2 linked regions of the Saccharomyces cerevisiae S288C genome follow. The protein of the gene in region 2 binds, or shares a complex with, the protein of the main gene of each other region. Each region holds a gene or a part of one and is shown on either strand. Other genes may lie near its edges.

The links. Proteins that work in one complex are often made in the same cells at the same time.
Region 1: CTI6 (region 2) and TOD6 share a complex: the UniProt entries of both Saccharomyces cerevisiae proteins name them as parts of the RPD3C(L) complex.

The regions. Positions count from the first base shown.
Region 1 is NC_001134.8:115,550-119,666, forward strand, and holds TOD6 (Tod6p), read left to right. Parts: upstream 1-2,039; coding exon 2,040-3,617; downstream 3,618-4,117. Other genes in the region: YBL055C (3'-5'-exodeoxyribonuclease), read right to left, coding at 24-1,280; SAS3 (histone acetyltransferase), read right to left, coding at 3,830-4,117. UniProt on the Saccharomyces cerevisiae protein: Component of the RPD3 histone deacetylase complex RPD3C(L) responsible for the deacetylation of lysine residues on the N-terminal part of the core histones (H2A, H2B, H3 and H4).
Region 2 is NC_001148.4:201,442-205,476, reverse strand, and holds CTI6 (Cti6p), read right to left. Parts: upstream 2,057-4,035; coding exon 536-2,056; downstream 1-535. Other genes in the region: TCO89 (Tco89p), read right to left, coding at 1-229; tRNA (34-2'-O)-methyltransferase regulator RTT10, read left to right, coding at 2,941-4,035. UniProt on the Saccharomyces cerevisiae protein: Component of the RPD3C(L) histone deacetylase complex (HDAC). Responsible for the deacetylation of lysine residues on the N-terminal part of the core histones (H2A, H2B, H3 and H4).

The DNA of each region.
Region 1 (4,117 bases), on a different chromosome or scaffold from region 2:
TTTGCTCTTTGCACCAATAGATGTTACTCTCCAAATATCTTACAGGTCGTCTTCCACGTGGTATCTATCAAAGTAGCCAGATCCACGTCCTTGACTTCCGATACGACAATTGCTACTTGTTCCATATTACAAGGCTCATTACGGCCCTTGACCATGTAAAGTTCTTCTGCATTCAACTTGTCAGCGAGCTTATTTTTCTTAACGGACTTGAATGCAGGGTATTCGAAATCCCTAACCTCCTGGTATTTGGCTAAGTACTGGAAAGATGCATGCGTTCTTTTAATCTCACACCACGGAGCATCTGTCTCTAATAACAACCTTTCTGTTGGTATTTGCTTTACAACAGCTAGATTTTCCTCGGTTCTCAACGAGCAACCGTTTACTCCTATGAAGATGTTGGGTGATAAGTTCAGTAATTTCTGCAAATCTATCGCAGAACCAGTGAATGAATGGACCACTAGTTTTCTATCTGGATGAAATTTGTAAAACCCGCTAGACGACGATGCACCTAACTTTTGTAGCTGAAAGGTATCCCTCTCATCAGTGAACCCGGCAATAAATCTTTCCAATATTTGAACAAAATCGTCACATGCGCTTCTCATATGCAGAAACAATGGATAGCTGCTGAGTTTATCGTTCAAACAACTTATTTTCAGTTGCTCTTCAAAAAAAACCTTTTGCATCTCTTTAGAACTATAGTGAAATCTGTCGTAGTCCAACCCGATCTCACCAATTGACCTGAAACTTGTATCATGAGGTTTTGCTTGCTGATTCATCAAATCATAAAGCTCTTTCAGTTTACCCTGTGCAAAAGATGGATTACTAATAACTTTAGCATATAGAGACTCATTATATGCTTCATCCATGGAAGGGTTATCAATAGAAGCGCTAGCCTTGTCCCCTTGACTAGCATCCGCAAACTCGTTAACGCAACATGGGTGAACACCTATTGTGTGATACAGCTTTAACGGGCTAAGATCTTTGACGCTGCTTACCAACTCAATGGCACTTTGAGACTCCGCTATGGATGATCCTGTAACAAGGGCATTTTTCACGTGCCTCTGAGCAGCACGCTCTAATAATTTTACATAATCTGCTGGATGGTACTGCTTACCATTGTAAATACCGTGAAACATAGGATCTGTCAGATTCAATCCAATATCATAGTATTTCAGCGGAGAATCCGTGGCAGTTGATGTCATGCTATAATATTGTGTCAAAATTGGTTTCCAGAGCCTAGAACAACTTTTGTTCGAGGATTTCAATAAGATGCCCCACATATAACTATAACAGTACTGGCGCCTCAAAAAAATGCCTTGGCAGCGAAAGTGTCCACCTTTAGTTGTCCATTGCTACCAGGACATCACCACTGGGCCCTTCCAGCATGCTGGAAAGATTGTTCTTAGAAGAGTGCTGTTCTAAGTAACCCGGCGTTAGTAGGGGCTAAGCCTTCTAGAAGGCCGGAAAAGGCTCAGAAATGCCTGCAGTGCAAAGCTTTTCAGGAACGTTACTAGCGCAAGTCTTCTGGCTGCTGTTTAGCAACCTCTTTGCAGGTATTTCGCAGCGGGATTTCGCAGGTGTCTTGCCTAGCGTATCAACACTTAGTAGCAGTTAGGTTCTAAAGTTAAACTCCACTTCCGTTCTTCTTCGAGTTCCTTTTTGAGCGGTTTGGCCTATCTTGTCTCATCATCTTGTTAGTGTGCGACGTTATCTGTGGGTGAGAGAGGCTATTTTTGGTCCGGTGAAAAAAAAATTTTTTCTCTGCTGAGAGCTGAAATTTGAAAATTGAGATGAGATGCGATGCGATGAGATGCGAGACCAATGCGATGAGACACTTTTCTACTTCCTTACACAGAAGTCGTGTATAGTTTTTGTACGTTGATATTAATAAAGGCTTTTCATATCATTTTGTTTTCAGGTAAACAAATCTGGCAAATCTCCACTGCTTGAGTCATTAAAACTACTCACTCAAGAAGGCATATACACGACAGTGGGTAGAGAAAAGAATATATCACTGTTCTTATTGAAGTTCCCTCGCGATGACGTTGCCGAAACTCAGTAGCGTTTCTGTTTCATCAGGACATGTTAGTGCCAACTCACATGGTTTCTCAATACTAAGCAAACACCCTCACCCAAATAATCTTGTCCATTCCCACTCACTTTCTCACACAAATGCGAAGAGCCACCTGCCTATCAGTAGCACTAGCACTAAAGAGAACAGCACGAACAAGGAGGAGGCGGAATCACTCAAAAAAAACAACCCCTCTTCTTGGGACCCTAGTGATGATATCAAGCTCCGCCACCTGAAAGAGATCAAGAACTTGGGCTGGAAGGAGATTGCACATCATTTCCCAAATAGAACTCCTAACGCTTGTCAATTCAGATGGAGGAGACTGAAATCAGGCAACTTAAAGTCTAACAAGACCGCAGTTATTGACATCAATAAGCTATTCGGCGTGTATGCGACTGGTGATGCTACCCCATCCGCGGGTACTCCGTCTGCGGAAGAAGCCGTAAAAGAGGAAGCTGTTGAGGATGAAGATATTACTGCAGGTTCTAGTGCTATCGAGGATTCTCCACCGGATTTCAAGCCATTAGTTAAGCCTAAATACATGGACAGAAAACTGATAACTCAAAGATCTACATCAACATTTTCGGACCATGAGCCACAACACACGAAACCAAGGAAACTGTTTGTTAAGCCAAGGTCCTTCTCTCATTCTATAACAACCAACACGCCTAATGTAAAGACTGCTCAGCAGACAAATCTAAGCCTTTATAACACTACTTCAGCAAAGACAAATAAAGCTGTTAATTCCAATGATTATGAGAATATTGGTCTTGTGCCTAAAATTATTATCAGGTCTAGAAGGAACTCCTTTATTCCTTCAACTCAAATCCCTCATTCAACGACGAAGACTAGGAAAAACTCGCATTCCGTAATTTCTTCTAGAAGATCATCTTTTAACATGATGCATTCAAGAAGATCATCCTTCAACTCTCACGCTCCTACGGAGCCTATTTCTAGAAGAGCTTCCTTGGTAGTTAGCCCGTATATGTCACCCAGAAGGTTATCTACATCGCAATCCGTTCATTATCATCCACAGCACCAATACTATCTTAACCCCATAGCGTCTCCCAACTGCAAGACAGACCACGCAAATGACAAAATCACGCACACGAGGACTTTCTTAGATATGCAAAAATTCGCTAATAAACACCCGTGGTCTAGAGAAGATGATGAAGTGCTACTTAACAATACGAAGGACAAACAAAACCATTTGTCGCCGCTAGAAATTTCTATTGTTCTGCCTAATAATAGATCCGAGTTGGAAATCCAACAAAGAATGGATTATTTAAAGAGAAAAGGACGTGTAAGTGGTTTTCATACAAATGAAGGATGCAAAGACGAGGAGGAGGAGGATGACATTGACCCACTGCACAAGGAGAATGGCATTAACACGCCATCGCAGCAATCGCAAAATTACGGTATGTTAGAGGCTAAACATGATAATCCAAAGTCTAGTGAGCTTTCTTCTATGACCAGCGCAAATGACATACGCAATGAGCAAGATGAACTTCCAGGTATAAATTCTATCTTTAAAAATATATTTTAAGCTAAGAGACGAATTTAGTTTGTTTTGACTATTCGTTTAATGAGTACAAATTAATCGCACCCACACATGTACACACACACATATATATCTTTATATATACACATAAAATTTATTCGTAGGAGAATTCTGTAATACTATTGACTACAAGGGTTCTTATTGCTATTAATAATGTTACATGTATATGCTTATATCCAATATATACCCATCGCCGCTTATTCTTCGTCATCCTCTATTAGAGTTATTTTTCTTCTTTTTCTGACTCTCTCCTTCCTTATGTGGCTTTCTATATCGTTTTCATCCTGCTCTTGTCCTTTTCTCTTCCCATCCTCATCATCATCACTGTCTTCTTCATATGTGTCTTCCTCCTCATCATTTTCTTCTGATATTTGCTCATCCTCAATGTCATCATCAAGGGTAAAGTCTTCGTCTTCGTCTTCATCTTCTTTGGCGTTTTCACCTACATATAATTCAGTATCTACATCGTTTTCTACTTCATCCTG
Region 2 (4,035 bases):
GTGCATCAGAACTCTTGCATTTCTGAGAAACGTTGTGCTTATTAAAATAATCATTATCCAGGGTGCCATCATGTGTTAAAACTCTACGCAAACCTTTGAAGCTTGCGTTACTCTTTGCTCTCGACCTAGTCGAAAACTGTCTAAATGGCTTTGACTGGTGTGATACTGTTGACGCATTAAGAGATGTTACATCAGTGTCTGACTTCAAAGTCCTTCCTCGATGAACCATAATTATAGTTACTCAGTAAGGATATATGATATATCCCAATATCTATGTTTACCTGACCCGTAAATCGATAGAATGTGCTAGTCCATTAGATGTTTGGATTCCTTAATCATCGTGCCAGCCAAATCGCTATACCATCCGCAACTAGCTATCCTTGCGGTTACCCGTACAAGAGTAAGCTCGGTTGATAAAAACAACGTTGAATTAGTCGTTTTTATATCCATATAGATGTATATATATGTATAGATGTGTTTGTTCGCCTCATTACAGTTATACTTTGGTTGAGAATAATATTGCAGTGTTTTGCGTTTATTGAATGGCATTAGTGTTATTTGAATATTTTTTCTCCCATAGTAGTAACTCTCTAGTCAGGTCGTCCATCATTGATAGACTTTCATTATAACCGTTGTAAATCGTATCAACTTTTTCTACGAAATGCTGGTTTTCCACGAATCGTACAAATTCCTCTCGATCAGACTGATCTTCACTCAATTCCCATTGAGTTCTAGAAATGAACTCCAAAATAGCGGATACCCTTCTTCTCATTTCGTTTAATGAGGTCCTTTGAGGGGGTAATCTGGGCTTTACTGGTTTGTCGGTACCTATATCAGCACTCCTTCTATTTTGGTTGGTGTCTGAACTTGTATTGCTTCGACGAGTTCTGTTGCCCTTTCTTGCTGGTTTGGAAACTCTTTTAGAACCCCTCGAACTAGCTTTCCTTGAATCATCCTCAGAAGAAGATATTGAGGTTAGGGGTAGGATGGGTTCATCAGTTTTCTCAGTGTCTTGCGCCGAACCCGTAGAAGATTCCTTTTCTTGACTAGCTTCTTTTTCCACATCATTTGTTTTTTCCATTGATTGCTCTTTCGATGGTCGTAGGCTTTCTTTCATATCATCATTTGTTACCGAGTCCGGTTTGCCTTCCGTTAGCATAACATCCGTTTGTAATCGAGTGGTGCCGTTGTGATTGTCGGTATCACCTTGGTATATATCAGCATCATTTTCATAACTTTCAGGATCTTCTTGATGTGATGTCCTCCTGCTTTCTTTCAAGGCTTTTTCAAGCATTCTTTGATATTGCTTTTCTTCTCTTGCCATGAAAGTTGCCCTTTTTCTATCCAGTAGCTTCTTATCACTATCTCCAGGATCCAGTGAATACTGATCGGTAGAAGCATCATCCATTGAATTCCTCCTCCTCCTTCTACTTGACCTCGTGTTGCCGTCCTTGGCTAATGCTACAGCCGAAGCTTCATCTTCTACTTCATCTTCTTCGTCGCCGATATCGTCGACGTTATCATCGGTATTGCTGGTATTTCTGGGACTTTTCTCTGCTTCATTGGCGGCATGAGATTTACTTGCAGCTGCACTTCGTGCCTTCCTTCTTGATTGCCTCCTTTTCTCTTGCACAGGTTTATAGATTGACCTTGCTTCGCCAGTATCTGTGGTAAAGAGCTGATGTAACTCCGGTCTGCATTGCTCGCACCAATATTTATCAGGTGCGTTGTCTTGAGTAATACTCACACAATAACCGTGCTGCCAGGAACTGCACTGCTCACATTGAATGAAAAATCCGGAGTCATCTGGAGTATCGAGCTCTCCACAGATACAGCGAGTTTCGCCTTCCTCTTCCTCGACTTCCCCCTCTCCACCTTCCATAGGAACATCTTCTTGTTTTACACTTTCTTCCTGTACACTTCCAATCGCCGCCGTTGTTGTCGCTGTTGATGTTGTTGATATAATGTCTGTGGACCCACTAGCAATGACTTCCGCTTTCTCCATATCTTCACTACCCACAACAGGGCCTTTAGGCACTATTGCTGTCGATTCCATTACTCTTCTCTATACTCCTATATGTTTATGCTATCTTTTAGTAAGGTTACGCAAAGTAAACTTCGAAGGAAACAAACTATTGATGGTCTCTGTTGTGAACTTTGTACCCCTGTAAATACCCAGTTACATAAAATTCATATACGAAAACCAACAAGAACAAAAAAGAAAAAACTAATCAACAAAACGTTATTTTTTGATCATGCAGTGAAAAGCCACCAATAGAAAATTGAAAATAGAAAATGCAGCTGATTGTGCTGTGCGGTTTACCTAGTTTACCCATAGCGGAGAAATTTTTCAAAACTAATTGATTACGTTAAAGCCTGTCTGCGACGTGCTCCGTCCTATTTCCGCAAGATGATGAGGGTAATGCCCTTTATAACTGCTCAAAATAAAAAATAACCGCCGAGGTCTTTTTAATTATCAAGGTTATAAGAAGTGCCAGAAGTGGGTGAACTTAACTCAATAAAAAAATATTAGTGACGAACATCTATCAAAAATTGAAAATTGAAGGTACTGCTCAGAGAAACTGAGTCTGGTCTTGCCTACATCTTTAAGAGGAATTTGTTCTGGTGTATTATTTATACAGCCGATAACATTGATGATACTCTCAGGGTCATTTTCACGTAGTCGTGCTTTGGTGAGTTGTATACTACCCTACGTACTTTTCACCGCTTATGTTTTACACTGGGGTCTGAATGATAGATTTAAGCCTAGCATACACATCGGCGTCTCACAAAAAACGACGCTGCTGAAAAAAAAAATGTAAGAAAAAAAAAGTGGAAAAATATGAGCATGAAAAAACTTCTGCTAGCGGACCTCATCGTTATTTAGCTTCTCATTCCCGCCAATTGAAGTTGCTCATTGAAGAAGAATAAGTGATTAAAATGAAGGACTTGTCTCATTATGGTCCTGCGCTATGTGTTAAATTTTACAATGATTATGTTCTAGCTGGTTATGGGCCTTTCATCCATGTCTATGACTATCATTCGGCTACGTTGATTAACAAATGTAGGCTATTTCACTACAATAAAGTTCATGGACTTAGCCTTTCTAGTGAAGGGAAAATTTTGGCCTATGGTGCAAGATCAGTAACAATAGTGGAACTTGAAGACGTTTTAAAGAAAGAGTCATTGGTGGATTTCGAAAGGATTAACTCAGATTGGATTACCGGTGCTACATTCAGCTTTGACAACTTGCAAATATATTTGTTAACATGTTATAATAAAGTGCTAATTTGTGATTTAAATTGTGAAGTTCTTTTTAGGAAGTCTCTTGGGGGAGAAAGATCTATTCTATATTCCGGTATAATTAAAGTTTTCGGTCCGGATAAAGTATATGTTAACGCTGGTACTGTAATGGGCGGTGTTATCATTTGGGACCTGTTCTCGGAGACAAAAATTCATAACTTACTGGGTCATGAAGGTTCTATCTTTTATGTTAATTTAAGCAACAACGGAAGATATGTTGCCAGTTGCTCTGACGACAGATCAATTAGACTGTGGGATTTAGAAACTGGCAAGCAGCTGTCTGTTGGCTGGAGCCATACGGCAAGAATATGGAATTTAATGTTTTTTGATAATGATTCAAAACTAATAAGTGTTTCTGAAGATTGCACATGCCGTGTATGGAACATTATCGAATCACGAGAAAACGTTGCCGAATTATCCATATCTAACGTTTACGAAGTACATTTAATCAAGAGTATATGGGGCGTTGATGTGAAAGACGACGAAATGATAGCTGTAACCTCCGGGAATGATGGTAGGTTAAAGCTGATTGATCTTCTTCAACTGAAGAGACACGGCGATGAAGAAACATCGTTCAGTCTAGATGATATCGCAAAGCAATGTGGCGATATTTTCGAAAAGAATGAAAGTATCAAGGGATTTCAATGGTTTTCATTCGGTGTAATTGCTATCACTTCATTGGGTAAAATACTTAAATACAGTGATGTCACGAAACAATGGAAGTTGTTACTA